7 linked regions of the Macaca mulatta genome follow. The protein of the gene in region 5 interacts with the protein of the main gene of each other region in a biochemical or structural test. Links are inferred from orthologs where the notes say so. Each region holds a gene or a part of one and is shown on either strand. Other genes may lie near its edges. The genes, in order: RB1, STUB1, PHB1, RHEB, RAF1, PEBP4 and RASD2.

Region 1 (3,959 bases), on a different chromosome or scaffold from region 5:
GAAGCCCCTGTGCTAGGGACTCTTCTGGACCTCACCCTATATAATACTTCTTCATCTGGCTGTTCATTTGTATCTTTTATGATGAACTGATAATAGTAAGTAAAATATTTTCCAGAGTTTTGTGAGTAGTTCTGGCAATGGATCAAACCTGTAAGGAAGAGGCACTACTGGAACCCCCCAACTTTGTATCCAAGTCAGAAGGAAGTATGGTGTAGCCTGGGGACCTGACGCTTGTGACTGGTGTCTGCAGTGAGACCAGTTTTGTGGGACTGAGCCTTGAACCTGTGGAGTCTGATGCTGACTCTGAGTAATTAGTGTCAGAATCGAATTGAATTGTAGAACACCAGAGAGTTGAAGATTTGTGTGAGAAAAAAATCTTACACATTTGGTGACAGAAGTGTTATGAGCAAAAACAGCTCACGTATATATGTATGTATATACACAAATGTATATATGTATTATATAACCTCAAATGAATATTTAGAAAAGTTTTGAAGTTCACCAATTAGGAGTATGATTTGAGATTAGGAGTATTTTATATATATATATATATATATATATATATAAAAAAAATAAATTTCTATGCAATATGCCTGGATGAGGTGTTTGAATAATTACATTTAGAAACTCGAATTATTGAAAGCTTTAATTTCTTTTATACTTACAATGCATACTATTATATTTCATAGAAAGAAAATACTCACCCCAAATGATTCACCAATTGATACTAAGATTCTGTCAAGTTAAGATGAAATGCCAATTAGTAATAAAAAATCATATACAATTTTGCAGAGACGAGCATAGATACATCATTCTGAACTATTAGGAATACTAAATTAAAGGTTACCTCTACCCTAGAACTACTGACAAACTATATTCATTTGGGAATTATTGTAACAGTGCCCATTTAATCATATACTCACCTAGTCTCTTAGTTTTACAGCAAAAGTTATAAGTCTGCAAGAACATATTCTGCTATTGCCCATATTTAGGGAGGGCAAAGGAAAGTTTCAAGTTTACCCCTACTGAGTTCTTCGTAAATCAATGGGTAAGTTATCAAATTTCTTTCATATTTTCTCATTTAAAATTCAAGTAATATTTGGAAAAAACTTACAATATTAAGTAATAATCAGAATTCTAATTAGCCTCTATATTGATATAGTAAAGGCTATCATATATCATATATGGAGTCAGAAATCTTTATTAGTCTGTCTTTATTTGAACCATATAATTTATGTTCTTGATAATAAATCTGAAGAACATCATTAGACTGACATGACTCAACAAAGATTTGAAAACATGAACACGGAACTAGTGAATATAGAGAATTTTTTGTCCTCTAATTCCTTGATAAGTGGCCATCATTCTACATATAATATTTGATTAACCAGAACACCTAAATGTACCAGGTAGTGTTAAGATGCTCTCCTAATGCCTGGTCAATGATTTATTAGTTAGGATGTTCAGAATGTGACTTTCTTGCTAAAGAATACCAACACAGAATTTATTTCACTAAGGATCAGCAAGTAGCCATCATTATCACCATAATATGGACTAATTATCACTATTAAAGAAAACTACCTAAGTATACATTTTCATATAGTGGCATGGAACAATGTAAATTTTCTTAAATAGACATGACGTGGCATCTTAGCAGCTTAGAACAAGTAGTAGGTATCAGTACACAGATATCCAACTACAAGAACACCAAATAAATAAAGGATGATACAGAGGCACATGAGAGCATTTGTATCATATTGCCAATTATTTCTCACTTCATATTTTTCTGTAGAGTTTGAAATTTTTATAATGAGTACGTACTACTTAAATAATTAAATATACCATGCAAATGTTTTCTGAAAGGCCAACATATTCCCCTTTTCTTGCCCATTAGGTACAACCATATGGGCTGATAATTTCTGAGATGAGACTACATTAACTATACTAGCTAATCTGCCTCCTACTTTACACAAATAAAGTCAGTTTCAAATAGCCCGTGATAACATATAATTAGTCAATTGAAGCACTTCAAAGCCAGAGAGCACTTGTGGTTGGATGTGGAAGATAATATAATGATTTGTAGTTGCACACAACCTTTCATCTGAGCATTTAAAACAGCTTCATACTCATCATTTCCCTGATCCACAGCACCCTTGTGAAGTACAGATAGAGACCTGCCCAAGGTAAAGTGGTAAAGTGGCCGCCAGCAGGATTAGGGATGGACCTCTAAAGACTTAATTGACAGTAATCTACATTTAATATAACAAGCAAAATGAACAAAATCCACAGGAAGCAAAATTTACAGGACATCCAATAAACTACAAACTAAAAGTACTCAACCTAAAGTAACCTGCTTTGTTTAGCAGATTGGCTACTTAGAAAAATATGAAAGTGTTTTGAAACATATAACCAAACTGGTTCTCAAATTGTTTACAAAAGAAGATACCCTAACAGTCAGGAAATCTGATAAGTAAATGTGTAAACTCATCCAAGTAAATAGATTTTCTTTCTCTCCATATTCTTATTATGTTACTTAAATAAGCAAATAGAGTTTCAAGAGTCTAGCTTATTTGAAATGAAGAAAGCTTTATATTTTTTATTCTTGGATCAAAATAATCGCCCTCTCATTCTTTACTACTTCCATAAAGAGAAAACACACACCTTGATCTTGGAGTCATTTTCGTTGGTGTTGGCAGACCTTCTGAAATTTTATATGGACTCTTCAGGGGTGAAATATAGATGTTCCCTCCAGGAATCCGTAAGGGCGAACTAGGAAACTTGTAAGGACTTCGAGGAATGTGAGGTATTGGTGACAAGGTAGGGGGCTAGAGCAAAAACAGAAAAGTAGACCATTTATTTAATGTTTTGGTGGACCCATTACATTAGATTTTTCCAGTCAAAGGATACTTTCGACCTACCCTGGTGGAAGCATACTGCAAAATATTTGTTTTCAGTCTCTGCATGAAGACCGAGTTATAGAATACTATAATAGAATCATACTCCTCTTCTTTGATCAAAACACGTTTGAATGTCTGAGAAAGAACAGTAGAAAAAAAAAAAAGTAAAATTTACTTGTTAAATGAATTTTAAAATTTCTACCTTTAGATTTTCTTTTCTAATAGTTTATAATACTTTTTGACTGATAAGAAGCACATATTATAAAAGAAAAAAATAATCTAAAATTACTTCTTAGGCTTGGATTATAGCTGCTCTCCGAGAAGTGAAATGTCACAGAATGATTGAGAGAAATAGCCAGGCAGCAGCAGATGGAATAGCTGGCCATCTAAGAAGACAGGAGTAGACAGGCTAGTAGAATGGAAAGCATGATCAAAGGGAATCAAAGGGCCAGAGCTGAGCGAAAGCCAATAACATTATGTATCAATATTTGGACTACATTCTCTGGCCTGTACCTCCTGGTATTCCCCCCAATCTATAAGGGTTTAAGTATGCATTACTCAATTGCAAGAAGTAGACATTTAGTAAAGGCACTATATTTTAGTGATAGATTTCACTCAAATTTTAGGTAAAAACACAGAGGTTATATCAGATGCCTCTGATATATACAATTAAAATGATTGAATTTAGAAAATAACTTCAAACATACAAACAAAAATGACTTGGTTTGTATTACTTTTGAAAACTCCAATAATAAATGGGAAAAATATCCCACAACTCACTTTCCACAAAACAATATGAAATATGTCATACCAAGTATATTTTACTACTACTATTTCTCTAAAGGGAAGGTAAACCAGAAACACAAAATGTGTTTATACTGAACATTTTTATTATTTATTTGCAAGGCTGCATTTATATTGGCTTTTCCTATAAACTAATACAAATAACTTCAAAGAATATCTAATGTTCTATGACTCATGTCAAGTTTATTACAAATACCTGCCTATTACAGGGATAAAGTATTACTTGTTAACTTTATTAAAAAATATGGATATGGATAA
Region 2 (4,609 bases), on a different chromosome or scaffold from region 5:
CTTCTTGGCTGGCCTAGTGTCCACGTGGGTGGCCAGGCTGGGGCCAAGGTTGGGCAGCAGGTCTGGGCACAGCCTTTGCCCCACGGCCCAGGTCCACAGTGCTGTCTCCACTAGGTGGGGAGCACACAGACTCAGGCCCAGGGGCACGGGCCACCCCAGCCTGCCCACACACAGTTCGTTCACCTTGGCTCAGAGCTGTGGCCCACTCTTGAACCTGGCCCAGGTACAGCAGGTAGTACCTGAGGGTGTACTGTGGGGCCGGCAGGCCGGGCACTGTGACCACTGCCTCATCTGACATGAAGGCCTCCATCTCGAGCTCCAGGCACCAGGACTGCTGTGAGCAGCGAGGAGAAGCAGCCAGACACCCCATCAGGACAAGCTCTGGCTCCGACTCCTGGTCCTAGAGACACACAAGGGCCCAGACTGTCTGCTTCACAGACAAGGACGCTTATGTACCCAAGTCGTGCCCACCCAACTCACCTGAGGCTGTGACTGTGGTGGGTCCACACCGCAGAGGGCAGACAGCTGGGTGACCGCGGCGCCCACATCTGGCAGGAGGCAGAAGGTGGTGGTCGAACAGTGCACAGCCAGCTCAGGGGGATTGGTGGTCACCAGCTGCTGTGAGAAGCCAGGTCAGGGTGCCCGGGGTGGTGGACCCACAGGGAGGCCCCGCCCCCACGAAGACCCGCTCTGGAGGCCCCGCCCCGCCGATGCCACGCCCCGGTGAAGACCCGCCCTACGGAGGCCCCGCCCTCGAGGCGGGCCGCCCCTCGCCGCCAGCTTCCAGGCCAGCAGCCGCTCCAGCTCCCTGTCACATGCTCTCCGCTCTGCCCCTGATGGCCGCTGGCAACTCCTCCCGATACCTGGGGAAGGGCGGTGAGGGGAGGTCCGGCCACAGGGGGCGCTCGCCCACCGATCCCTTTATCCCCTTCCACTCTACCAACGGCCCAGGGCTTCCAGCCGCACTCGGGGGTCCGCGCGCGCCCGTAGGACCTCTCGATGGCGCTCCGGAATGGCGGCCCAGCGACTGGGGTCCTTACACCCAACAGCGCGGGAAGCCACTATGTTCACGCGGAGGGGCGGGGCCGGCTGCCGGGGGCGGGGCTTCTGGGTAGGGGCTGGCTGCTGGGGGCGGGGCCTCTGGGTGGGGCGGCCTGTTGGGGGCGGGGCGTCTGCCGATGGGGCGGGCTGCTGGGGGCGGGGCTGGCTGCCGGGGGAAGGGCCTCTGGATGGGGCCCGCTGCTTGGGGAGGGGTCTCTGCGCGTTGCGGCGGGGGCGGAACGCCAGGTGGTCGGGACAGGCTGTTGGGGGAGTGCGCCCTCAGCGAACCAAGGCATCTCACTGGGAAAGTCGAATGTGTGTGGCGGTCGCCGCCGAGGCCGGTTCCGAAGAGGCCTCAGCAGGGCGGGCCAGGGCCTCCGCGAACGCCGACCCTTAAGAGCGCCGAGCGAGGGAACCGGAGTGTTCCTCCCAGCCCCCGACGCCGCGGGCCTAGCGTCCCCGTCCAGGCTGATTGGGCGCACGCGCGGCCCCACTCGCCCCCACCCGTGCGTCCCCGCTGGTCCCGCCCCCGGCCGGAAGTTCCGGCGGTGGAGCTGGGCCGGGCCCGAGAGGATCGCGGGTTCGGGCTGCGGGGCTCGGGCTGCAGGCGCTGGGCCGCCAGGCGCGGAGCTTGGGAGCGCAGCCCAGGCCGTGCCGCGCGGCGCCATGAAGGGCAAGGAGGAGAAGGAGGGCGGCGCGCGGCTGGGCGCTGGCGGCGGAAGCCCCGAGAAGAGCCCGAGTGCGCAGGAGCTCAAGGAGCAGGGCAACCGTCTGTTCGTGGGCCGAAAGTACCCGGAGGCGGCGGCCTGCTACGGCCGCGCGATCGTGAGTGCGCTCGCGCGGGAAGGGCGGCGGCGGCGGCGGCGGCGGCGCCGGGGAGGGCCGGGCCCGTGCCCGGCTGGCCCCACCGAGGGTCTGGTTCCTCTGCGGGGCATGTCCTGGGCTCCTAAAGCCCAGCCGTGGTTCCCGAGCCCAGCGCCGGGTGTCGGAGAACGAGGGTGGGATGCTGGATGGAGGCCGGCCGGGTCGGGGGGAGGGCAGGGGCCCTCGCCCCTTGAGGATCCCAGGTCCAAAGCCTGGACTCTCCAAAGATTTGGAAAACTTTACAAAACCAAGTGGAGTCAAGCGGATAGGCTCAGCCAGTACTCCACTGTCTGCAGATCCTTGGATCCAGGGGCTTTGACGACTGAGAAGCCTAGTTTCTTGATTCTAGCCAGAGCGCAGAAGCTGGGACGGGCCGTGGGACAGAGGGGGCGCGCTGAGCCTACACCCTCATGCGGCTGGCCCGGCCTTGGTCCCTAGACCCGGAACCCGCTGGTGGCCGTATATTACACCAACCGTGCCCTGTGCTACCTGAAGATGCAGCAGCACGAGCAGGCCCTGGCCGACTGCCGGCGCGCCCTGGAACTGGACGGGCAGTCTGTGAAGGCGCACTTCTTCCTGGGGCAGTGCCAGCTGGAGATGGAGAGCTATGATGAGGCCATCGCCAATCTGCAGCGAGGTTGGCTGACAAGCTGCCCGGTTGTGGGGCCCCTGGGGCCAGGCGGGTGGACTGGCCAGAGAGTGACCTGAAGCCCCCGTTCCCCAGCTTACAGCCTGGCCAAGGAGCAGCGGCTGAACTTCGGGGACGACATCCCCAGCGCTCTTCGAATCGCGAAGAAGAAGCGCTGGAATAGCATCGAGGAGCGGCGCATCCACCAGGAGAGCGAGCTGCACTCCTACCTCTCCAGGCTCATTGCCGCGGAGCGTGAGAGGTGGGACCCTCACCCCAGGTCGCCCTGTCTTGGGATAATTCTGAATCACCAACTACCAACATGAGCGTTTATTGAAGGTTTCACTGGCGAGCAGAAAACGTGGGGAAGAAGCATGAATGTTAGCCCTGAGGTTGGGGTGTGGTCAGACATCTGGCCAGGTCCATCTCTTACTGGCTCCTGGTCAACCCCCAGGGAGCTGGAAGAGTGCCAGCGGAACCACGAGGGTGATGAGGACGACAGCCACGTCCGGGCCCAGCAGGCCTGCATTGAGGCTAAGCATGTGAGGGTGCCCCCCTCCCACATGTGGGTCTGTGTGTGTGCACCTGGCGTGGGAGCATCCCCGCCTTGTGTTGGGTCTGTGCCCCATGGAGGAGGGAGGTGGGGTGTCCCGCACAAGTGCAGTGCTCAACTCTTCACAGGACAAGTACATGGCAGACATGGACGAGCTCTTCTCTCAGGTGGACGAGAAGAGGAAGGTGAGTGTCTGTCACTTGCTGCGGTGGGTGGCAGGTGCTGGAGCAGTGCCCCTTCCCAGCCTCTGATCGTGTGCCCCTGTGCCACAGAAGCGTGACATCCCCGACTACCTGTGTGGTAAGATCAGCTTTGAGCTGATGCGGGAGCCGTGCATCACGCCCAGTGGCATCACCTACGACCGCAAGGACATCGAGGAGCACCTGCAGGTGAGGCTGCGGCTGGGGGAGCAGGGCCAGCAGCATGGTCCTGGGCCCACTGACTGCCCTCTGCCCTTCTTGTCACTGCAGCGCGTGGGTCATTTTGACCCCGTGACCCGGAGCCCCCTGACCCAGGAACAGCTCATCCCCAACCTGGCCATGAAGGAAGTCATTGACGCATTCATCTCTGAGAATGGCTGGGTGGAGGACTACTGAGATGCCTTGCCCTGCCCAGCATCCTGGTCCAGGAGAGCCCTGGGCGGAAGCCCTCCACCCCTGTACATAGTTTGTGTTGCTGGCCACCCTGGCCCCTTCCAAGTTCAAGTTCTGCTGTTGGGCTCTGGACTATTCCCCCTCTCAGCATAGCTCTTGCTGGGCCGTGATTGTCCTCCTTTGTGGGCTGGAAAAGCAGGTGAGGGTGGGCTGGGCTGAAGCCACTGCCGCCACTGTCTGTGTAATAAAATCCATGAGCACGAGATGGGACGTGCTGGTGTGTGGCAGGCATGCCTGCCAGCTGCTTTGGCTAGCCGAGGAAGGTGGAGATGAAGACGCTGGTGTCAAGGTTGAGTGTGGCATGCCACCAGCGGTCAGGGAAGTACAGCACCTGGTGGAGAAAAGGGGTGCAGCACAGATTAGCTGGGGGCCTCTGGCCTGGCCTGGCCCTCTCCTGCCAGCCACTGACCTCACCAGCCCGGATGGTACACTCCAGGGGCCGTGCAGACGGTGGCAGGGCTGGATATGTGTCCCGGAGCCAGGCCAGCGTGGTCTTGTTGGGGTGGAACTCTGGTGTCTTCTCAGGTGGGTAGAGGAACCAGCGCTGGGGGCAGGAGCAGCAGCGTCACCCTTGCCTGTTTTGGTCACCGAGCCCCAAAGCTCAACCCCAACCCTGTGCTGACCTTACGGCCGTAGATCACCTCCGAGTACCCGGGCCCATGCCAGTGGAAGGGCACCCCCGAGCCAGCTCCTGTGGGGTTATGAGCACCTGGTGACCAAGCCATTTTGTACCCACCCTCAGAAACCTCACTCCTCCCCAGTCCTGAGCAGCGTTCACCTGCGATTCCAAAGCTGTAAGCTGGAGCGGTTCCCAGCAGGCCAAATGGGGGTGGGGAGTAGTGCCGAAAGAGAGAGGCCCACTCGGTGAAG
Region 3 (3,959 bases), on a different chromosome or scaffold from region 5:
CTCCCCGGCACCTCTCTCCAGCGGCATCTGCGCAGGAACCGCTGGGAAGACGGAGGCCTGCCGCCTTCTCAGTTCAGCCACATGTGCCCTCATCCGCAAATCTTCCATCAGCAACAGGACAGAGGCCACACGTGGACCCAGGCAGACACCTGTGCTCCCCAGTCCATCACACACTGCCCCGCCTGTGTGCTGCCAAATGCTGGTGCCCAGGCCGGAGCTCCAGCAGGCCCCGAATTGGGACCTAAAGCTGGTTTGCATAGGCACTTGGCAATTTTTGGTAGGGAGGTGGATAAAAAAGTAGATGGATGTGAGAAGAATGAAAGTTTCATTTGATAGACTAATTAGAGATCTGAAGTGATTTTACCTTTATTTCCTTCACTTTAAGCCAATCATGAAATTTCACAGTGATTTCTGGGGTGGGGATAGAAGGAAGGCGGTGTTAAGAATCATCGGGGCTGTGGCCCAGTCAGCCCGCGGAGGTGCAGGCAGGGTGGGCCCTCACTGGGGCAGCTGGAGGAGCACAGACTGCCCCGCTGGCAGGTAGGTGATGTTCCGAGAACGTGAGAGCTGGTATGCGATGTCCTCCGCGGCTTCCAGCTTGCGCAGCTCGATCAGGCCATCCCCTGCAGTGGCCAGTGAGTTGGCAATCAGCTCAGCCGCCTTGGAGTCACCCTCAGCAGAGATGATGGCTGCCTTTTTTTGCTGCTCAGCCTAAAAGAATGGAGGTGGAGACAGACTAAGACCAAACCTCAGGGCACCGCATGTCAGGCTACAACCAAAGGCCCTTCACCAGAAAGCCACCTTCCCAGGCTCCTGTAGGAACTTGGGGAGTTTACCTCCTCCTGATGGTGGGGGGAGGCAGAGCACACAGCCCACCAGTCCTCCCCTTCCCTTTCATGCTCACTCGTCACGGGAGAGATACATTTCTGTTGGTTGCATGAATATTTGTCTTATTTCAAAGTCCTCATTAATATTAATTGCAATCTAGCTTAACAACTCTACTCTGAGCCAGGAGGATCCAAGGCCAAGGAAAACAGAAGCAAAAGAAAAATGGAATCAACCCTCAAGGCTCATCTTTCCTTCCAGCCCCAAGTCTAAAGGACTTCATCAAAGCCAGGACAGGGCCAGGTGTGGTGGCTCATGCCTGTAATCCTGGCACTTTGGGAGGCGGAGGCAGGAGGATCACTTGAGCCAGGAGGTCAAGGCTGCAGTGAGCTATGATCATGCCATTGCATTCCAGCCTGGGCCACAGAGGGAGCCGCTGTCACGAACAAAAAACCTCAGGATGGCTAAGGAAGAGCAGCATGCACTTGTGACTGTTCCTAGAGCTGCCTGTGGGCTAGGCTGATTCCTGACCAGAATCCAGGCACCCACAGTGAGACCTCCTAGGCCTGCCCTACCAATATTAAGAGGAAGACAGTTCTCTGAAATGTGTGACCTTCAGGAGTGTGAGGAAGAGGACAGTATTAAGCCTCCCTGAAATTACATACAATTTTGAAATGGCTGGGCCCTGCGTCTATTTGCTTAACAAACATTTACTGTATACCTACTATCGCCAGGCACTATACTAGACTTGTTATAATCTCTGAAGTTATGGAAGATACAAAGCAACGCAAGTCCCTGCCCACACAGTGTTTTCATTCTCCAAAATTAAATCTATTCCTCTTTTCCCATTTTATTTCTTGCTGCCCCCATCTCCCCACCAATTAGGGATACTGGTGGTGGGAAGAGGGGGACAACAATAAACATGTCTTTGCAAATACCAGAAAGAACAGGCTGCTACGCAAATACACTGCGTCCCATCGCATTCTTTGACACATCTGGATGGATTTAGCACTAGAAAAAAATCCAGTGACGAAAGCACATCTGGTGCAACGTTTGATCTTTTTTGCTGTCAGCTTTCACTATGTAAGTATGGTTAAAAATGACTTCTCAGTGAAGCTGAAAATACTCCAGGAGAAACATTTTCATTTGTAAGAGAGTGTTTTTGATCTCAGAGAAGTGGAAGAAAAATTACCCTTCGGTGATTTTGGAACATAACTCCACATATCCTTGACTAGCCCCCGAAGACTCTGGAACCAATTGCAGAAGTACAATTCCTTCAAGCCCCTTCCGATTATCCCGGAAGAAGGGATGACAGATGATGAATTTCCAGGCCACCCAGCAAATGGGGAAGCTAAGTGCAGGAGAAAGGGGAGAGAGGCTCCTGCCATCTGGTTGAATGCTCACCTTTTCCACCACAAATCTGGCCCTCTCTGCTTCCTGCTGAGCCACCTGTTTGGCTTCCACCGCTTCTGTGAACTCCTTCCCGAAGGTCAGATGTGTCTAAGGGGAGAGAGTGAGCACAAGATGAGGCAGTGTGATTGCTTAGACAGCACTGCTGGGACGCCTCCACGGCCGCTGGAAGGAAGAGGCCAGCAATGGCTCTAGCAGCTGGAGGCATCTGTGAGGCCAGAACACTCTTCCATCTCTGTATCTGTATCCAAACTGAGTTTACACCCAGCATCTCTGGCTGCCCAACTGCTCCTGTACACTACTCTGTCACTCTCAGTGCAGCGAGTGACCTCATGTAGCAAATGGCGCCTGGGGCTTTTGATGGGGCCCATGGGCACCAGAAGGTATCTATTCAATCGACCACCTCCCCAGAGGAGAACTGTGGGTTCTAAGACCCCCGCCACTGACTAGTGCTCTTCCAAGCGCCTTTGATGCCTTGTTCAAAGCCCAAGGAAGGCCAGATGCAAAACGGGGCCCCTGAGAGTGAGGGAGGCTGCTGGTTCCCAAGGATCCAAGAGCCTGATGCTCTCTGCTTATGGATTAACCAGTCCACTTCTTCCCACAGCAGCTCCACCACTGAACAGGAAGAGGACGAGGGGTGGTAGAACGCAAATCATGCTATTCCCAATGTGAATGGTTCTGTTAAAGGGTTTAAAAGAAAGAGAAAGCAGGTAAAGTCATTGGTCGGGCTGAGGGTTTAGAAGTCTGATGATCCATAGACCTTCCCTAATCATGTCAGGTCTGACGTGACTGTTCCTAACCATAGCACAAACAATGGGAAGGGACCTCAGCATTCCTAATGCCCAGCCTAGAGCAATTTACTTATTCATCCTACTTTTTACTGAAAAAGAATCAAGAGGAGAGCATTGGTTTTGCCATCAGATTCTAGTTGTTTCACTTCCTCCGCTCTCCCAGCCTCTGCTTTTAAAAAAGCAGCCCCGAACTGCTCCTGACGAGTAAATCCTGGTCTCATTCTCTCCCAGAATGTTTAAGCTCCGAACTCTAACTGCAGCTGTCGTACTTCGCCTGATCCATTTCTAGTCTCTCAGTCAAAGTTTGGGTAAGAAAATCTGATCCTGAGAAATGAAAAATGAAATGTATAATTAAGGAATAAAATTTATTTCTAAAAGGGCCAGCTGAGGGCAGCGAATTCCCCATGAAACCTAATTTTCTTCTCACACCTCTTAGACAGGGTTTCCTGTGGTCAGCCCACATTTCCCCAGAATGGAGTATGTGGTTAAAGTCTAGTAAAATGCCAACTTTTCCCTTAGGTTTTTACGCAGCGTTTTCTCACAGCCAAGGTGTTCAGGTTCACGGTAATTACCAGGGGAGGGCCTGCAGAACGGCTGCAGCCTGGCCTCTTGCCAGCAGAGGGAGCCCCAAGCCCCCGGGGGTTCCAGCAGGCGGAGCAAGGTGGAGCAGTGCCCCGGGGTTAACACTGGCTGTTGTCCAGTGGCTGTTTAAACAGCTGCACAGATGCTGGGGGAAGCGGTGCCTTTCCCTAGCGATGCACGGGAGAACTGAACAGGAAGCACTTTACCTCACTGCCCGAACAAATCACTCCAAATGATTTTTCCCAGAGAATCTAGAAACACGACCCTTCCCCTCACCCTCCTCAACCTGAAACGCTATCCTGCCTGTATTGCTTTCTGTCTGAGTTATGACATCCAATGTCATATAAACAC
Region 4 (3,959 bases), on a different chromosome or scaffold from region 5:
ACTGACAGTTTGAGTAGAGGACGGTACCATCAGATGTATGTCTTTAGAAAGTTAAGGGCAGCAAAGAGGAACATATAGATGAAAAATGCACTGGGGGCGGGAGACAAGTTTGGTGCCGGGGGTCTAAATTAAAGCAATGGAAGAAAAAGGTTCATACAGGATTGTGAAGCCTCCTGAAGCAGAATCTACATACTTCCCAGAACATGCCTTTAAAGGTACATCTACAGGGTGAAATTGGTACTAAATGCTTAAAAGATGGTTCTTAATCATTTCTATGTTAAAAATTAACACATACGTCTGACCCGGTTTCATCTAACAGAAAAAAAAGCCAGGGGGTAGGTACAGTTAAAAATTAGTGCTAATGATATAATTCTTTTTTTTTTTTTTTTTGCTGCATGGACTTATTTCTGTATCAGTTATTAATACAAAACAAAAATACATGTTTACAAAAGGTAGTATTTCCCTTACTAATAGTTTATGTTTATCCTACAAATATCCTAGGTTCCACTGTAAGTAGAATATTGACTGAATTTATAAACACCTAAGTAGTATCTTCCTAAAGCAACACAAAGCTTGGTATTACAAATGTTCTGGAAGGCCAAATGTTACACAGGAGTGATCAAGACAGAGGTCAAATGCCAACTGCAAGGAACACATCCCTGTGACTGATGAGAACGCAATGCAAAACGAGGTTTATAGAATCTGTTACCTGATTTTCTTTAGCAGAAGATTCCAAAAAAGCTGCATTCCAAGATTCTGCCAAAGCTTTCCCTTCTTCATAACTGATCACCCTAAAGGACAAATAAAATTCTGGTTAAAGTACTTTGCTCTTCATTATATAAAATATCTATAATTGATTTTGAAACAGGCTCCATTTTGGTCAATTTCTTTCTCATGAAGCAGAACCATGCCCTGGCCTAACATTAGCATCGAGAATGTAACACAGGAGTGTTTCAATTACGCCTGAGCTGGGGAACAGAATAGACATTGCCTTACGGGATTATCCCTGCTCCAGCAAACCTTCCAGCTCAGAGAACATGATCCTATTTTCCAGTACTCCCGTATCTGTAACAATTGACTATTTTACAGCTAGGTTTTAAGCACCCAAGGCCAGGGGAAATTGTGAAAGGGCCTGAAAGCTCAATTCTCTTGCGTGCAGGCTGTAGAGTCTCTTACTCTCTGACATGAAGCTGCCTGGGCAGGGGACATCTGCCTCCTTTGCTCCCCACTGTAATCCCAAACCCTGGTACTCAAAAACCACTTGCTGCATCAATGAGCACTACGTCTTTTTAGAATTTGCTCTATGCAAGGTGGTAGATAACCTAAAGGTAGTTTTCTATAAAGTTTGCTCTCTCTTTTCTAGAGGAATGTGAGATTTCTATTGCACTTTTGCTTCTGCTGCACACGACCATAACATCTCTGAACAGATAAGAAATGCCACAGCTAAAAATATTCTTGATATCAGAACAATAATTAAAATGACACTACAGTGACTAAATCATCTTAGACTTGACTTTAGAAATTACTAATGATTTAAAAGCTACATACCTTTCCATATGCAGGTCTTTCTTATTCCCAACCAACATAATAGGTATTCTATTTAAAAGAAAAACAAAATAAAACAAAACAAAATAGTCAGTGCCAGATTGTACTGCTCAGAAGATACTATTATAAGAAGTTTCTCTAACAAACAGATAAAATGGTACTACTTACTGTACTTTCCCCACCATATCCAATAATTTCCCATGGATAACTTTAATCACTTCAAAACTATAAAACAAAAAGTATAAATTAGACATTCATTTTAATGTTGAAGTTTTTAAAGGTATGTTATGTTGACAGCTGGAAAATGCAAAATGTCACGGACTCACCATTTTAACATAAACTGAACACAAAGAAGTCTTGTTTTTTCCTAGCAATCCATTCACATGTGCACACATCTGACACTCAGTAACCCTGACTGAGGATATTCAAAGTGAAACAGGTAAGGCATTCAAATGGAAAGCCTACCACTGGGCTGACAAACCACATAAATGCAATTTTTAATCACCCAACTTACTCAGCAAAGAACCAACTGTTTACATTACAACTTGAACAGCTTTTCCTAGAGTGCCCTAGTGCACTCAGCCTGTTCCTGTTTTCTTTCCTAGGTACATACATTCTCTGGGTGATGCCAATCTCTCTTGGCTTTCAATCAGATCAATAAGCCGATGACTCTAGGTTGAAGGTGGCTCTCACTGGGAAGGGCATCTGAGATGTCACAATGATCACTCGAAATCTGCCATAGTAGGATTATTTATACCATTGAATGCTGACAAACAGCCACAAACCATTTCCCACCCTCCCCCAAAAAACCCATGCGAACATTTGCCAGCACATCTCTGGCTCTACGTTCAAATCCTACCTAGAATCTGATGGCTTCTCACTCCCCGCCACAGCTGCCACCGAGGTGTGAAATTCCTGGCCCAAGACTGCCTGCATCACAGCTACAGCCCCAACCCTTCCCTGCCACCCCTGCTCAGCACAGCAACCAGAGGACTCGGCTGCAGCAGATGGACAATGTCTCGCCCAACGTCCTCTGATAGGCGGCCATCTCTACTCGGCCCCAGTTACTCTCAAACCCTGACTTCTGCCTCCATTCCCGTCTGCCCCCTCTTCTGTTTTGTCTGAGCTGCACTGGCCTCCTGACATTCCTTTAACACCGCCAGAGCCTCTGAAGTCACTCCCCGTGTGCCTGGTATGTTCCTTCCCTAGGGATCCCTTGCTTCAAGTCTTTCCTCAAATGTCACTTTTTTTTTCTTTTTTTTTGAGATGGAGTCTTGCTCTGTCACCCAGGTTGGAGTGTAGTGGCACGAAACTCAGGTCACTGCAACCTCCGCCTCCTGGATTCAAGTAATTCTCCTGCCTCAGCCTCCTGAGCAGCTGGGACTACAGGTGCCCGCCACCACGCCCAGCTAATTTTTGTATTTTTAGTAGAGACAGGGTTTCACCATGTTGGCCAGGCTGGTCTCAAACTTCTGACCTCGTGATCCGCCTGCCTTGGCCTCCCAAAGTGTGGGATTACAGGCGTGAGCCACCGTGCCCAGTCTCAAATGTCACTTCTTACACCTCTTCTGTTTATCCTAAATTACAAATTCCCTGTCTATTTCTTACCCCTTCTGTACTTCATTTTTCTTGGCAGCATGGTCACAGACATCCTATCTCACATGTGTGTCGTTTTACTGTTTGTCTCCCACACCAGAAATAAGTTCCACAAGGGCAGGGATTTGTCTGCTCTGTTCATGGTTGCATCACAAGCTTCGGAGCAAGTTAGCTTGTTGAATGAATTACACACTGTGCTATTTTAAACCACATGTGCTGTCACTTTGATAAAAACAAAAATGAAATTTAACCCCCCTACAAGCTCGCTGTGGGTCAACAATGGGATATGGGTGTCCTAAGGACCTGCGGTTACATTACAGAACCACGTTTTCCTCCGCATGCTATATTTGCCTACATTTAAAAGTGTCGCCACTTGGGCAAAAATACAGTACCCTGTCACGTGAGAAACGGCTGAAAGAACTGGGACTGTGTGGCAGGCAGCTTGGAGCCAGCTCCCAGAGCTCATGCTCTCCTAGGGGCCACACTGTGTGTCATCTCCCTGCATGGACATAACGACGTGCATCTAATGAACAGAATATGGCAAAGGTGACGGGATGTCCCTTTTGAAGTCAGATGGGACTGCAGCCCCTGCTGACACTCACCCTGCGGCTGCAAGAGACTGAAGTAGAGGACACAGCTAGGACACGCCCAAATTCCTGATCCACAAATCTGTGAGATCGTAGATGTGTACTGTTCTAAGTGGCTAAATTCCTTGAGATCACTGATTTTCTGAATCAAACTGGTTGATTCAGAAAGTTTTACTGACATATTTCTTGTATATTCATAAATATTTGTGTATTCAGCATATAGGTTTCTAA
Region 5 (3,959 bases):
TTCAACAAACGCCTCCTAAATTGAGAATTACACTCACCCCTTTGAGTAGATTCATTCCCTGGGCTATTCTCTCAAACTGGAGAACTCTTTGAAACATGAAAAAATGTAAGCTAAAGATGAATAATGTAATTGACCCTTTCCAAGAAGAGGGTAAAAAAAGAACCCTTTAAAGGTTTCCCTATATTTTGGGGGTGGAGGGAATAGTGGATAATGGATAATTACAGACAGCTCTGCTGCTTTGAGGTATTACTCCTAGCCTTTGAGGGGATGCCTCTATCTTGTCACCACCATTAAGAATAGGATAAACTATGAATCTTCCCTGAAGCAGAAATGCTTCTGCATCTTTAAACAATCTATTAAACAGCAGGGATTAGGACACATTTAACTGAACCAAAAAAAAAAAAATTAGTGAATGAGAAAAGTCAATCTCCCGAGGATAGCATTCTTTATATATATAATAATGCACTTTCTGAGTGCCCAGTCTATATAATGCATTACAGTAAACACAGTAAACACAAAGAAAAATCTTTGCCTCAAAAAACATAGCATCTAACATTACCGTTTCCATCCATGGAAACATTATCAATACCTAACATATGTTTTTTTTTTGTTTGTTTCTTTTTTGTTTTTAATAGATAGGATCTTGCTCCAGCCCAGGCTGGAGTCCAGTGGCACAATCATGACTCATTGCAGCCTCAAGCAATCTTCTCACCTTAACATTTCGAACAGCTAGGATTACAGGGCCGCACCACCATGCCTGGCTAGTTTTTAAAATTTTTTTGTAGAGATGGGCCTTCACTATGTGCCCACGCTGGTCTTGAACTCCTGGCCTCAAGCAACACTCTTGCCTCAGTTTCCCAAAGTGTTAAAATTACAGGTATTGGACTTTTCAAGAGAATGTCCAAGCAATAATTTCAATTTCTTAATACCTATTTTTCTGAATTATCTCTTTATAAAGAAAGGCATAGAAATAAACAATATTCTATAGGAAGCTAGTACAATTTAATACAAACATAGCTATTTGAAGCTAGAAGATCCTTACTAGTCTGAAGAAGTCAATTGACTTTTGAGCTCTTACCCTTTGTGTTCATGGAGAAGTCTGAACACTGCACAGCACTCTGGTTGAAGGCCCCTCACCTTGAGTGCTTTCATAAGGCAGTCATGCAAGCTCATTCCATTTCGTACATTGACCTACAAACAAAGGATCACCTTTAGGACCAACATAGGCTGCAGCACCCCTTGGAAAGGTGGGCACAGAAATAAATGCACCAGTCTATAAAGGTGCAGGCAAATTTATGACAGCATTGCTTGTGATGGCACACGCGCACACACACATATATGAAACAACCTGAATGTACAGCAATAGGTAAGTACTTGAATGAAGTGTGAGACATCTGTATTATGTCACATTATGCAGCTATTATATTACTTATAATGACCTGGATGGAGAGGAGTCCATGATATATTAATTGGGGGAAAATATCCTTCAGAATAATAGAGTAAGATTATTTTAAAGATGAAGAGGCCAGGCACGGTGGCTCACACCTGTAATCTCAGCACTTTGGGAAGCCCAAGGCAGGTGGATCACCTGAGGTCAGGAGTTCGAGACCAGCCTGGCCAACATAGTGACCCCGTCTCTACTAAAAATACAAAAATTAGCCAGGCATGGTGGTGGACACCTGTAATCTCAGCTATTCATGAGGCTGAGGCAGGAGAATTGCTGGAACCCAGGAGGGAGAGGATGCAGTGAGCTGAGATCACGCCATTGCACTCCAGCCTGGATGACAAGAGTGAGACTCTGTCTCAAAAAAAAAAAAAGGTGAAGAAATTTGTATGCTATATGAGTGCGGAAAGATTTATACTTAGCTGTTCACATCAAGAGATAGTGGTTAAGAAAGAGAAAATGACGGCCGGGTGCGGTGGCTCAAGCATGTAATCCCAGTACTTTGGGAGGCCGAGATGGGTGGATCACGAGGTCAGGAGATCCAGACCATCCTGGCTAACATGGTGAAACCCCGTCTCTACTAAAAAATACAAAAAACTAGCCAGGCAAGGTGGCGGGCGCCTGTAGTCCCAGTTACTCAGGAGGCTGAGGCAGGAGAATGGCGTGAACCCGGGAGGCGGAGCTTGCTGTGAGCTGAGATCCGGCCACTGCACTCCAGCTTGGGCGACAGAGCGAGACTCCGTCTCAAAAAAAAAAAAAAAAGACAGAGAAAATGATAAACTTTTCCTTTACATGTCTCTAATTTTGTGTGATTAGATGTATACACATGTATGTTCATTAGATTCATTAAAGAGGAAATAAGCCAATCTGCTCTACAAACAAACATGAGTTTTTATGATCAAAATTTGTACTTCAACTTATTTCAACAAAAATGACTAATCATTCTAACAAAAATTCCATCTCACAAGTACTTAACACTAGTGAAGGCAAAGCAGGAAGTGGAAGATACAGAACTCCAGCCCTGCTGTAGGGACAAACACCAATCTTAGTTTAAATATATGTGCATACCATACCAAGCAGCCTTAGTGGCACATACTTCTCTATATTTCCCTGTACTCAACCCTCAAAAAGCTAGGCAGGTACTCAGAACCCTATTGGGAAGTGTGAGTGCCCAGGACACTCACAATTAATGGCAGCTGTAAAAAAATTTGAACTAAAATTTCAGAGTTTTAATAAAAGTCCTCCATGTGTTAACTTCAAAGCCAAGAGTTAATCAAAAGTAAAGTAACTAGAGTCAGTATGGCCAGCAAGGAGGGCAAAACATACATTTGCAGTGCTTGTTAACTTCTTACAGCAAAGTTCCTCCTCTGAAAGTGTTAACAGCTTACAGCAGCCAGCCAACCCCTTCCCCAGAAGGTGGTGAGTGTATGCATATATTTACCTATGCAAATACATGGGGAGGGGAAAGGAAGCAAAGCAGGGCTCCAAAAGGCCCAAAGTGTTCTTAATCTTGGCTCTTACTCCAGGCACCTCAGTGCCAATCCAGCCAACCTTCTCCAGCTGGTTTACAACAGAAAAAAGTCTTAAGAAACAGGACATAGGTATCTGGGCCCTCCTAGTTACCAGGCTCCAAACCAGGGTATAGTATTTGGATGCAAAGCAGAGAAAACAATCTAGGAAAGAAGGAAATGCATGTGAGCCTAAAGAATTTGAAAAATATCAGACAGGGGCAACGTAAGAAGTTTTTCACAAGGCTTTATTTTGCTATCACCAGGGACTGATGGGGACTTATCTGCCCAGTAATCATTATTTGAGGCCCAAAGATGGACTCCACATTCAGAGTACAGTGTAGAAGAATTTGAACTTGTAACAGATTAGCTCAGAAGGTGATGGGAGTGGGGGAGGAATATTTTCCGGGAGGATCAATCATCTGGGAGAAAGGAAAAGATTTTCCAAATGAAAAAAGTTCCTTTGGAGTTTGTGACAGCCTCCTTAGCTACCGATGGTTTTTCCTCTCTTTCAGAGATGTGGAAGAAAGCAAAGGTCATGAACAACAGGGTAAGGGGAAACCAACTGATTCTTCAAATAGATAGAAGATTGATCATAGGAAACCTCTAAGGAAAAGAAATGGGGATATAGGGGCAGGGGTCACTCAAGACTTCTGGCTCATATGAATGCTTTACCTATTTAAAAATAAATAAAATTAGCATTCTTTAAAAGTTCCTTGTACATACCAAAATAGTTCAGACAAATGATATCCGGGATTTGTGTCAAAACATCGGGAAAGGAGTGGATGAAAACACAGATTAAGCAGGACTGCCATGGTTAGCTAAGTGTTGAAAGTGGGTAAGTTGTACATCAGATTTATTATTCTGTCTACGTGCGGGTGTTGTGTGTGTGTGTGTGTGTATAAAATCTGTATTATATATACTGAGACAGGGTCTTGCTCTGTCATCTAGGCTGGAATACAATGGCATGATCATGACTCATGTAACCTTGACCACCCCGGTTCAAG
Region 6 (3,959 bases), on a different chromosome or scaffold from region 5:
AAGAAGGGAGTGGAGAGTTTCAGCAGCAGTGGTTCAACAGATCCCAGTAGCTGGAGGGACCAATGTGTCTCTGGAAGCCACAGGTTTGGCTTGAATGGTGGTGTCTGGAGGTGGTCCCAGCCCAGGTAACTGAAGGAAGAGAGGGGGACTTCAAGGGTGGGCACCAAGAAATCTAGCAATGGGACTTTCCAGGGTGAGAGAATTAAGCAAAACCAGATGGTGATGGGGAGGGAGAATGGTCACTCCTCAAGCTTGAACACAGCTTTCAGATCTTAGGTTTCAAATATGAATCAAAGTCCTGAAAATCCCCAAGAGAAAGATCGGGTTTGAAAATCCCAAGAACCACTGCATTCTGCCAGATCTCTCTGCACAAAAACAAGCCACAGAAGGTTAGATAAATAAGCAAAAGGCATCCAGGGCTAAGGGCCAACCTGAGTGATTAGTTTCCTACTGATGTTTACACGGAGTTGTGAGCTGTTAAGTGAAAATAAGGATGATCAGAAACGGACGTGGCGTGTGTTATGCATTTAAACAAGAATTTTATTAAACCTCTATATACTCCATGTAAGGTGCTCAGAATGCTGGACAGTCTCCGTGCTGCCTCCCAGAAGCTTATAGGCTGGGTGATTGAGGGAGAAACTATCACTAAGCAAATAACTACAAAATAATTTATTACAACTATATAAGAATAATGAAGAAAGCAGTAAGGTGCTCTGATTGTTTATAAAAGGAATCTGATGGATGCTAGGGGTGAAAGCAAGTTTCTCTCAGGAAATGGCATTTCAGCTACCCCCCTAATGAAGGTGGGAAGTGGGGTCGGTGCCTATCACAGCCCTGGGATAGAAAGGAGCTTGAGGAACCTGCCAGAGGTAACATGTGAGAGGAGGAGGAAGTCGGCTAGAGAGACAGGAAAAGCCTGATTTCGCAGGGCATTGTGGTCCACGTGGAGGACTCCGGGGTCCTTCTCCCAAGAACAAAGGGAATGTAGAGGGAGTGAGTAAGAGGCACTGGAGCAGCTACAGAGTTCAGTGGAGCCAGGTGGTTAAGAGCGTGGACTCTGGGCTGGGTGTGGTGGCTCATGCCTGTAATCCCAGCACTTTGGGAGCACGGAGGTGGATCACTTGAGCCTGGGAGTTCAAGACCAGCCTGGGCAACAATGCAAGACCCTGTCTCTAAAAAAAATACAAAAATTAGCCAGAGCCGTGGTGTGCCTGTAGTCCCAGCCACTTGAGAGGCTGTGGCAGGAGAATCCCTTGAAGCCCAGAAGGTGGAAGTTGCAGGAGCCGACATCACCCCATTGCACTCCAGCCTGGGCGATGAGAGTGAGACCCTGTCTCAAAAAAAAAAAGCATGGACTCAATGGACTCAACCCAGTTTCAACAGGTTCAACCAGAGCCTGGGGTTTAAATTCCAGGTCTGCCACTTCTTGGTGACCAAGGCCAGGTTTTAGCTAATGTCACTGTGCCATCTCCTCCTCCATAAGATGGGGTGATAATAGTGCCTATTTCCAAGGATTGGCATGAGGATTTGGAGACAAAAGTGCCTGGCACGTGGAGTAAGGAAGAACTGCCACTGGAAGTGGGCTCAACAGCAGCAACCTGCACTGTGGGCTCTCCCTGCCTCCAGGCTGCCATCACTGTGCTAAAAGAGTTGACACCCAGGAAAGTTGAGGCTTCTCTAGTGGATGCCATTTGTAAGATGAGTTTCTTGGTCTTGGGCAGCCCTTCTGGCAGCATCTCCTTGACTGTGGCTGTCCTGTGAGCTGTATACAGACAAGGCCATGCTCAACCTATACCCCAGGGCCTAACATGGGGCAGGCACATGGGAGGTGCTTAATGCCTATAAGTGAAGTGGGTTGCAAAGGAATGAATGAATGGATGGATCTGTGAGAGAATACTTACACTATTCATAAATTATTGAGCATTTACTATGTTCCAGGCTCCTTACTGAGGGCTTAACCTGGTTGATTTCATTCTCACAATGATCTTGTGAGGAGGCTACTATTCGACTCTTTCCAGTAGGGGAGATCTTGGGAATACGTTTTTTGGTTGGGGGCAAGGGGAGTCCTGGTTGTATTTCAGGGAGCTTAATGATAGAGAAATGTGTTTAATATGTAGCCCCAAAGGGGGGCTTTTTGCTACAGGTTGGGATCCTGGAGGCAGGAATTAAACCAGAAAGCAGACTATGCTAAAAGTAGTTTCTCTAAAGATCTAGCTGCGTGTACTTTACAGCAATGATCTCATATTCCTTAGCAAGGCACCACAGTGACAGCAATTATTTAACTTGTTTGTGAAAAGGAAAAGTGGTGTGTTCTAGGGAGACGCAGTGGCCTCCCCAGCATCCAGAGAGAGCTCAGAGCAGAAGCCAGGAGTCCTGAGTTGCTGGCATGTCTCTCCCACCCCCGCCTCTGAGAAGCAGAGAGCAGAGAGCAGAGCTATTGGAAAGGCTGTGGCAAGCCGCCTTTGTTCTTCTCCTTGCCCACTCAGGCTCTAACCAGAGTCCCACATGCACCTGGTGGCAGGACTGTTCCCTAAGGGAATGCGGGCAACAGTCCCTGGCTCCCCTTCTTCCCGGTGCAGCGCTGGGGCAGACCACCGCTTTCTGAGCCCCAAGCAGCTCCCCAGACCTCCTTCTCCAGAGATGATTATTTTGGGAGAGTGCTGAGTTCAGCACAGCTGCAAGGTGCAGCCAGACGCACCCTTCTGTCCTCAGCTGGCCCTTTGGAGCTGGCTTTGGGCTAGGGTGCGCCTGCCCAAGCCCAAGTCCCTGCAGCAGTCCCTCCTACACAGGGTTACTGTGTCCAAGCACCTCCACCTTGGGGAAGCTCACAGGCTGTGGAGACAGGTGGAAGAATGGGGGCTAGGAGAGGCAGAGCCGGTCTGAGGGGCACAGCCCAACTCCTAGCCCTGAGCCTGGGGTCACCAGCTTCCCAGGGCTTGCCTTACAGCCAAGGGGCAGGCTGGCCTTCGGCCAGCTGACCATCCCCAGGCCAAGAGCAGGGAGTGGACGAGGAGCTGAACTGAGAAGCTTATATAAGCACTTCTACTTTGCAGCCTGCTGTCTGCCCTGGCAGCCAGGACAAGAGTGACAACAAAGCTGTGTCCTGCCAGGGGGAGGGGCCTCTGCCAGGAATGTACATTGAGTCCAACTTGGAGGAGGCCCAGGTCCTCCCAAAGTGCTTGTGTCCGGGTGGTGGACTGGATTAGCCGCGGAGCCCTGAAAGTTGCCTGCCTTTCTCCCTGTGCTTAACCAGAGGTCTCTCTCCTGCCAAGTGGGCCCCTGGGGTGGGGGGCACAGGTATTTGGCAGGAAATGCCCTGCAGGGGATCCAGCTGCTCTAAAGCTCCTTCTGTTCCAGGTGCCCATGGGTTGGACAATGAGGCTGGTCACAGCAGCCCTGTTACTGGGTCTCGTGATGGTGATCACTGGAGACGAGGATGAGAACAATCCGTGTGCCCAAGAAGCCCTCTTGGACGAGGACGCCCTTGTGTGCCAGTAAGTCAGGGCAGGCTTGGAGGCGGGAGGCACAGAGGCTGCCAGGCAGGTGGATCGCAGGGAGGGGTATTTCCAAAACCAAGGAGCACCATCTCCTGAGCCTGATTTTATGGGGAAGACAGAACACACGTCAGGTCTGGAGACCACCTTGATGGAGGATGGCGCTGAGAAAGGGACTTAGAAACAGACTCCTTCCTGCCTTCCAGAATGCACCTCTCCCAGGACCAGGAGGGCTGTGTATATGGTTGGCTCTGCTTGGGCCCTCCAAACCTGGGGGGTCTTGGCGGAGGCAGGAGGCTGAGACCCTCAGAGAGAGACCCAGAGAGAGAGACCATCCCTCCCTATAGCCTGAATGCCCCCTCTCCACAGAACCCCGACCAAGAGGCGTTTTAATGAAAGAAGGTGTGTGATTAGACCCTTCCTGTGTGAGAGGTGTTTTTCAACGATGGGACCTAGGAGTGTTTG
Region 7 (3,338 bases), on a different chromosome or scaffold from region 5:
AGCCTGGATAACCGGGAGTCCTTCGATGAGGTCAAGCGCCTCCAGAAGCAGATCCTAGAGGTCAAGTCCTGCCTGAAGAACAAGACCAAGGAGGCGGCAGAGCTGCCCATGGTCATCTGTGGCAACAAGAACGACCACGGCGAGCTTTGCCGCCAGGTGCCCACCACCGAGGCCGAGCTGCTGGTGTCCGGCGACGAGAACTGCGCCTACTTTGAGGTGTCGGCCAAGAAGAACACCAATGTGGACGAGATGTTCTACGTGCTCTTCAGCATGGCCAAGCTGCCGCACGAGATGAGCCCCGCCCTGCATCGCAAGATCTCCGTGCAGTACGGTGACGCCTTCCACCCCAGGCCCTTCTGCATGCGCCGCGTCAAGGAGATGGACGCCTATGGCATGGTCTCGCCCTTCGCCCGCCGCCCCAGCGTCAACAGTGACCTCAAGTACATCAAGGCCAAGGTCCTTCGAGAAGGCCAGGCCCGCGAGAGGGACAAGTGCACCATCCAGTGAGCGAGGGATGCTGGGGCGGGGCTTGGCCAGTGCCTTCAGGGAGGTGGCCCCAGATGCCCGCTGTGCGCATCCCCCCACCGAAGCCCCCGCAGCAGTCTTGTTCACAGACCTTAGGCACAGACTGGAGGCCCCCGGGCGCTGGCCTCCGCACATCCGTCTGCCTTCTCACAGCTTTCCTGAGTCCCCTTGTCCACAGCTCCTTGGTGGTTTCAGCTCCTCTGTGGGAGGACACATCTCTGCAGCCTCACACCTTCCTCTCCTGGGGTTGGAAGGAATGTTGATCCCAGAGGGGTGAGGATTGCTGCGTCATATGGAGCCTCCTGGGACAAGTCTCAGGATGCAAAGGACACGGAAGGCCAGATGAGAAAGGTCTCCTCTCTCCTGGCATAACACCCAGCTTGGTTTGGGTGGCGGCTGGGAGAACTTCTCTCCCAGCCCTGCAACTCCTACCCTCTGGGTTAGCTGCCTCTGCACCCCCTCCCACCCCCAGCACACACACAAGTTAGCCCCCAGCTGCCCCTGACATTGAGCCAGTGGCGTCTGTGTGTTTGAAGGGGGCGTGGCCACGCCTCCTAGACCACGCTCACCCCTAGACCACGTTCCTCAGCCTCCTCTCCCAGGTCCCTCCGCCCGACAGTTGTGCTTTGTTGTGGTTGCAGCTGTTTTCATGTCATGTATAGCAGTAGAAATGGAAATCATTGTACTGTAAAAGCCTAGTGACTCCCTTCTTGGCCAGGCCCTCACCCAGTTCAGATCCACGGCCTCCTCTGGGGATGCCTTCCTCCTCTATTCCCAAACAGGGTTTCCATGGCCTGTCTGCACCTAGACATTGACCTCCGCCATTGAACTCCACGGTTTACAGACAATTGCACAAGCGTGGGGTGGACAGGCCAGGGCTGCTTTTTTTAATGCTCCCATTTCACAGAGGATACCACTGAGACTCGGAGGGGACATGATGAGCCCCAAGCCACAACCCTGTCCCCTAGCAAGTTCAGGGTACAGCTCCACCTAGAACCAGGCTGTCCTCTACTGTACTCATTCCTCAAGCATTTATTAAGCACCTACTGGGTGCTGGGTTCACTGTGTCCTAGGAAACCAAGAGGGTCCCCAGCCCTGGCCCCTGCTGCCCCACCACCTTCTGCACACACAGCGGTGGGGAGGCAGGGAGGAGCAGCTGGGACCCAGAACTGAGCCTGGGAGGGGTCCAACAGAAAAGCTCAGGGCAGGTCTTCTCCTTGTGCCCGGGATTGGGCTATGCTGGGTCCAACCATGTACTCAGGCATGGTGGGTTTGAACCCATAAACCAAAGGCCCTTGTCATCAGCTCTTAACAAGTATATTTTGTATTTTAATCTCTCTAAACATATGGAAGTTTTCGGGCCCTAAGGAACCTTAGTGATCATATAATGGGTCTTTCTGAGGTCCAGAGAGGGTTAGTAACTTCCCCCAGGTCACACAGCAAGTCTGTGGGTGGCAGAAGCAAGCTAGTGCTGGGCATTCGGTACCTACCACGATGTGCCCCCTCTCTTGATGCTTGGCCCCTGGGGCCTTCAGGGCTTTGGGACATCTTGTCCTCAACCCTCTCCCTAGATCAGTCTGTGAGGGTCCCTGTAGATATTGTGTACCCCATGCCAATGTATATACAAGTACACACAGATGTACACACAGATGTACACATGCTCCAGCCCCAGCTCTGCATACCTGCACCTGCATCTCAGCCTTGGCCCCTGCCTGCGTCTGTGCTGAACGCAGCAGCTCCAACCCCGCCTCTGTCCTCTTCCCCACCCCGCGCCTGAGCCCTCTGAGCAGACCAGGCACCTTGGCTGCACCAGTGTGTGGCCTGCTGTCTCCCAGGCACAGCCCCGCTGCCATGGATCTCCGTGTACACTATCAATAAAAGTGAGTTTGTTACAAAGCCGTGTCCTTGCCCATGTGTATTTTTCGTGTTTCCAAGAGGAGGTGTGCCCCCTCCCCGATCAAAGCTGGCCTTTCCCGCCCAAAATGCACCTGCTGAGAGCCCTGGCCCTGAGGGTCAGCACTGAGTCCACCTTCAAGTTTAAGTGTCGGGGGAGGGGGATAAGACCCCCAGATGGAAGGTGATGCTCTCCTTCAGCTTGGTCCTCCTGGGTCCTCCAGGTTTGTGTACCGAGGTGTCTGTGTCCACACAGGAGGGGCCCCTGTGGACCATTAGCTCCAGGAGGTTCTCTGTGTCTTAGTTCTTCATGGTTCCTGTACAGCAGCAATTTCACCTCCAGGGCACAGTTGGCAATCTCTGGAAACCTTTTCCAAGCCTGGGGCTAGGGCTGCTGCTCTCACCTGGTGGGTGGAGGCCAGGAACACCGTTCAGTATCCTCCAGTGCACAGGCTGCCCCTCCACCCCCACCGCACTGAGAATTATCTGGCCTCAAATACCGAGCGTGGGCAGCCTCACTTAGACTCAACCCCGGGGGCCAGGACACGGCCCCCACCTGCGTGTGGTGGATTTGTTGGACTGCATTCTGGACGGAACCCAGTAGACACGGGGCTCACAGCATGAGCCCTCCTGTGAAGTGAGACAGGATGTAGGTGAGGATGGCAAGTGGAGGCTGAGGGAGAAGGTCTGGGTCCTGACCGACACCGAACGTGCCCCCGGGACTGAGAGGTTTCCCTGGGCAGAGGGAAAGGAGAAAGTCATGAGTGTCCACTGTGTGTTTTACCCGGCGGGTCTCACGCCATCCTATCACCCAGCCCTGAAGGAAGCCCACTCATGTTCACCCAATCTGAGCGTTTAGGTTCAGAGAGCTCCATATTTTGTCCAAGATGGCACAGCTGGTGAAGTGGCAGATCAGGGAT

The links.
Region 1: the proteins of RAF1 (region 5) and RB1 form a complex in vitro, tested with the Homo sapiens proteins (3 studies listed by BioGRID, with this or other methods). The link is inferred for Macaca mulatta from reciprocal best matches to the Homo sapiens genes RAF1 and RB1.
Region 2: of the proteins of RAF1 (region 5) and STUB1, one has a biochemical effect on the other in vitro, tested with the Homo sapiens proteins (4 studies listed by BioGRID, with this or other methods). The link is inferred for Macaca mulatta from reciprocal best matches to the Homo sapiens genes RAF1 and STUB1.
Region 3: the proteins of RAF1 (region 5) and PHB1 form a complex in vitro, tested with the Homo sapiens proteins (2 studies listed by BioGRID). The link is inferred for Macaca mulatta from reciprocal best matches to the Homo sapiens genes RAF1 and PHB1.
Region 4: the proteins of RAF1 (region 5) and RHEB form a complex in vitro, tested with the Homo sapiens proteins (3 studies listed by BioGRID and IntAct). The link is inferred for Macaca mulatta from reciprocal best matches to the Homo sapiens genes RAF1 and RHEB.
Region 6: the proteins of RAF1 (region 5) and PEBP4 form a complex in vitro, tested with the Homo sapiens proteins (2 studies listed by BioGRID). The link is inferred for Macaca mulatta from reciprocal best matches to the Homo sapiens genes RAF1 and PEBP4.
Region 7: the proteins of RAF1 (region 5) and RASD2 form a complex in vitro, tested with the Homo sapiens proteins (2 studies listed by BioGRID). The link is inferred for Macaca mulatta from reciprocal best matches to the Homo sapiens genes RAF1 and RASD2.

The regions. Positions count from the first base shown.
Region 1 is NC_133422.1:27,657,634-27,661,592, reverse strand, and holds part of RB1 (retinoblastoma-associated protein), read right to left. Parts: intron 3,033-3,959; coding exon 2,919-3,032; intron 2,826-2,918; coding exon 2,662-2,825; intron 1,049-2,661; exon of another isoform or gene 917-1,048; intron 736-916; coding exon 705-735; intron 1-704. UniProt on the Homo sapiens protein: Tumor suppressor that is a key regulator of the G1/S transition of the cell cycle. The hypophosphorylated form binds transcription regulators of the E2F family, preventing transcription of E2F-responsive genes.
Region 2 is NC_133425.1:1,894,855-1,899,463, forward strand, and holds the start of STUB1 (E3 ubiquitin-protein ligase CHIP), read left to right. Parts: upstream 1-1,707; coding exon 1,708-1,866; intron 1,867-2,254; exon of another isoform or gene 2,255-2,343; coding exon 2,344-2,542; intron 2,543-2,629; coding exon 2,630-2,795; intron 2,796-2,987; coding exon 2,988-3,075; intron 3,076-3,214; coding exon 3,215-3,271; intron 3,272-3,358; coding exon 3,359-3,475; coding exon of another isoform or gene 3,476-3,556; coding exon 3,557-3,682; 3' UTR 3,683-3,989; coding exon of another isoform or gene 3,990-4,070; intron 4,071-4,145; 3' UTR 4,146-4,148; coding exon of another isoform or gene 4,149-4,283; intron 4,284-4,362; coding exon of another isoform or gene 4,363-4,430; intron 4,431-4,516; 3' UTR 4,517-4,517; coding exon of another isoform or gene 4,518-4,609. Other genes in the region: uncharacterized protein LOC106994901, read right to left, coding at 14-110, 240-400, 481-615, 864-1,061, 1,177-1,301, 1,343-1,709. UniProt on the Homo sapiens protein: E3 ubiquitin-protein ligase which targets misfolded chaperone substrates towards proteasomal degradation.
Region 3 is NC_133421.1:60,600,280-60,604,238, reverse strand, and holds part of PHB1 (prohibitin 1), read right to left. Parts: intron 2,326-3,959; coding exon 2,230-2,325; intron 712-2,229; coding exon 499-711; 3' UTR 1-498.
Region 4 is NC_133408.1:190,896,507-190,900,465, forward strand, and holds part of RHEB (GTP-binding protein Rheb), read right to left. Parts: intron 1,771-3,959; coding exon 1,714-1,770; intron 1,597-1,713; coding exon 1,549-1,596; intron 792-1,548; coding exon 710-791; intron 1-709. UniProt on the Homo sapiens protein: Small GTPase that acts as an allosteric activator of the canonical mTORC1 complex, an evolutionarily conserved central nutrient sensor that stimulates anabolic reactions and macromolecule biosynthesis to promote cellular biomass generation and growth.
Region 5 is NC_133407.1:151,432,293-151,436,251, forward strand, and holds part of RAF1 (RAF proto-oncogene serine/threonine-protein kinase), read right to left. Parts: intron 1,192-3,959; coding exon 1,079-1,191; intron 1-1,078. UniProt on the Homo sapiens protein: Serine/threonine-protein kinase that acts as a regulatory link between the membrane-associated Ras GTPases and the MAPK/ERK cascade, and this critical regulatory link functions as a switch determining cell fate decisions including proliferation, differentiation, apoptosis, survival and oncogenic transformation.
Region 6 is NC_133413.1:24,591,326-24,595,284, reverse strand, and holds part of PEBP4 (phosphatidylethanolamine-binding protein 4), read left to right. Parts: intron 1-2,785; exon of another isoform or gene 2,786-3,199; 5' UTR 3,200-3,255; intron 3,256-3,357; 5' UTR 3,358-3,363; coding exon 3,364-3,494; intron 3,495-3,959. UniProt on the Homo sapiens protein: Promotes AKT phosphorylation, suggesting a possible role in the PI3K-AKT signaling pathway.
Region 7 is NC_133415.1:15,988,442-15,991,779, reverse strand, and holds the end of RASD2 (GTP-binding protein Rhes), read left to right. Parts: coding exon 1-507; 3' UTR 508-2,421; downstream 2,422-3,338. UniProt on the Homo sapiens protein: GTPase signaling protein that binds to and hydrolyzes GTP. Regulates signaling pathways involving G-proteins-coupled receptor and heterotrimeric proteins such as GNB1, GNB2 and GNB3.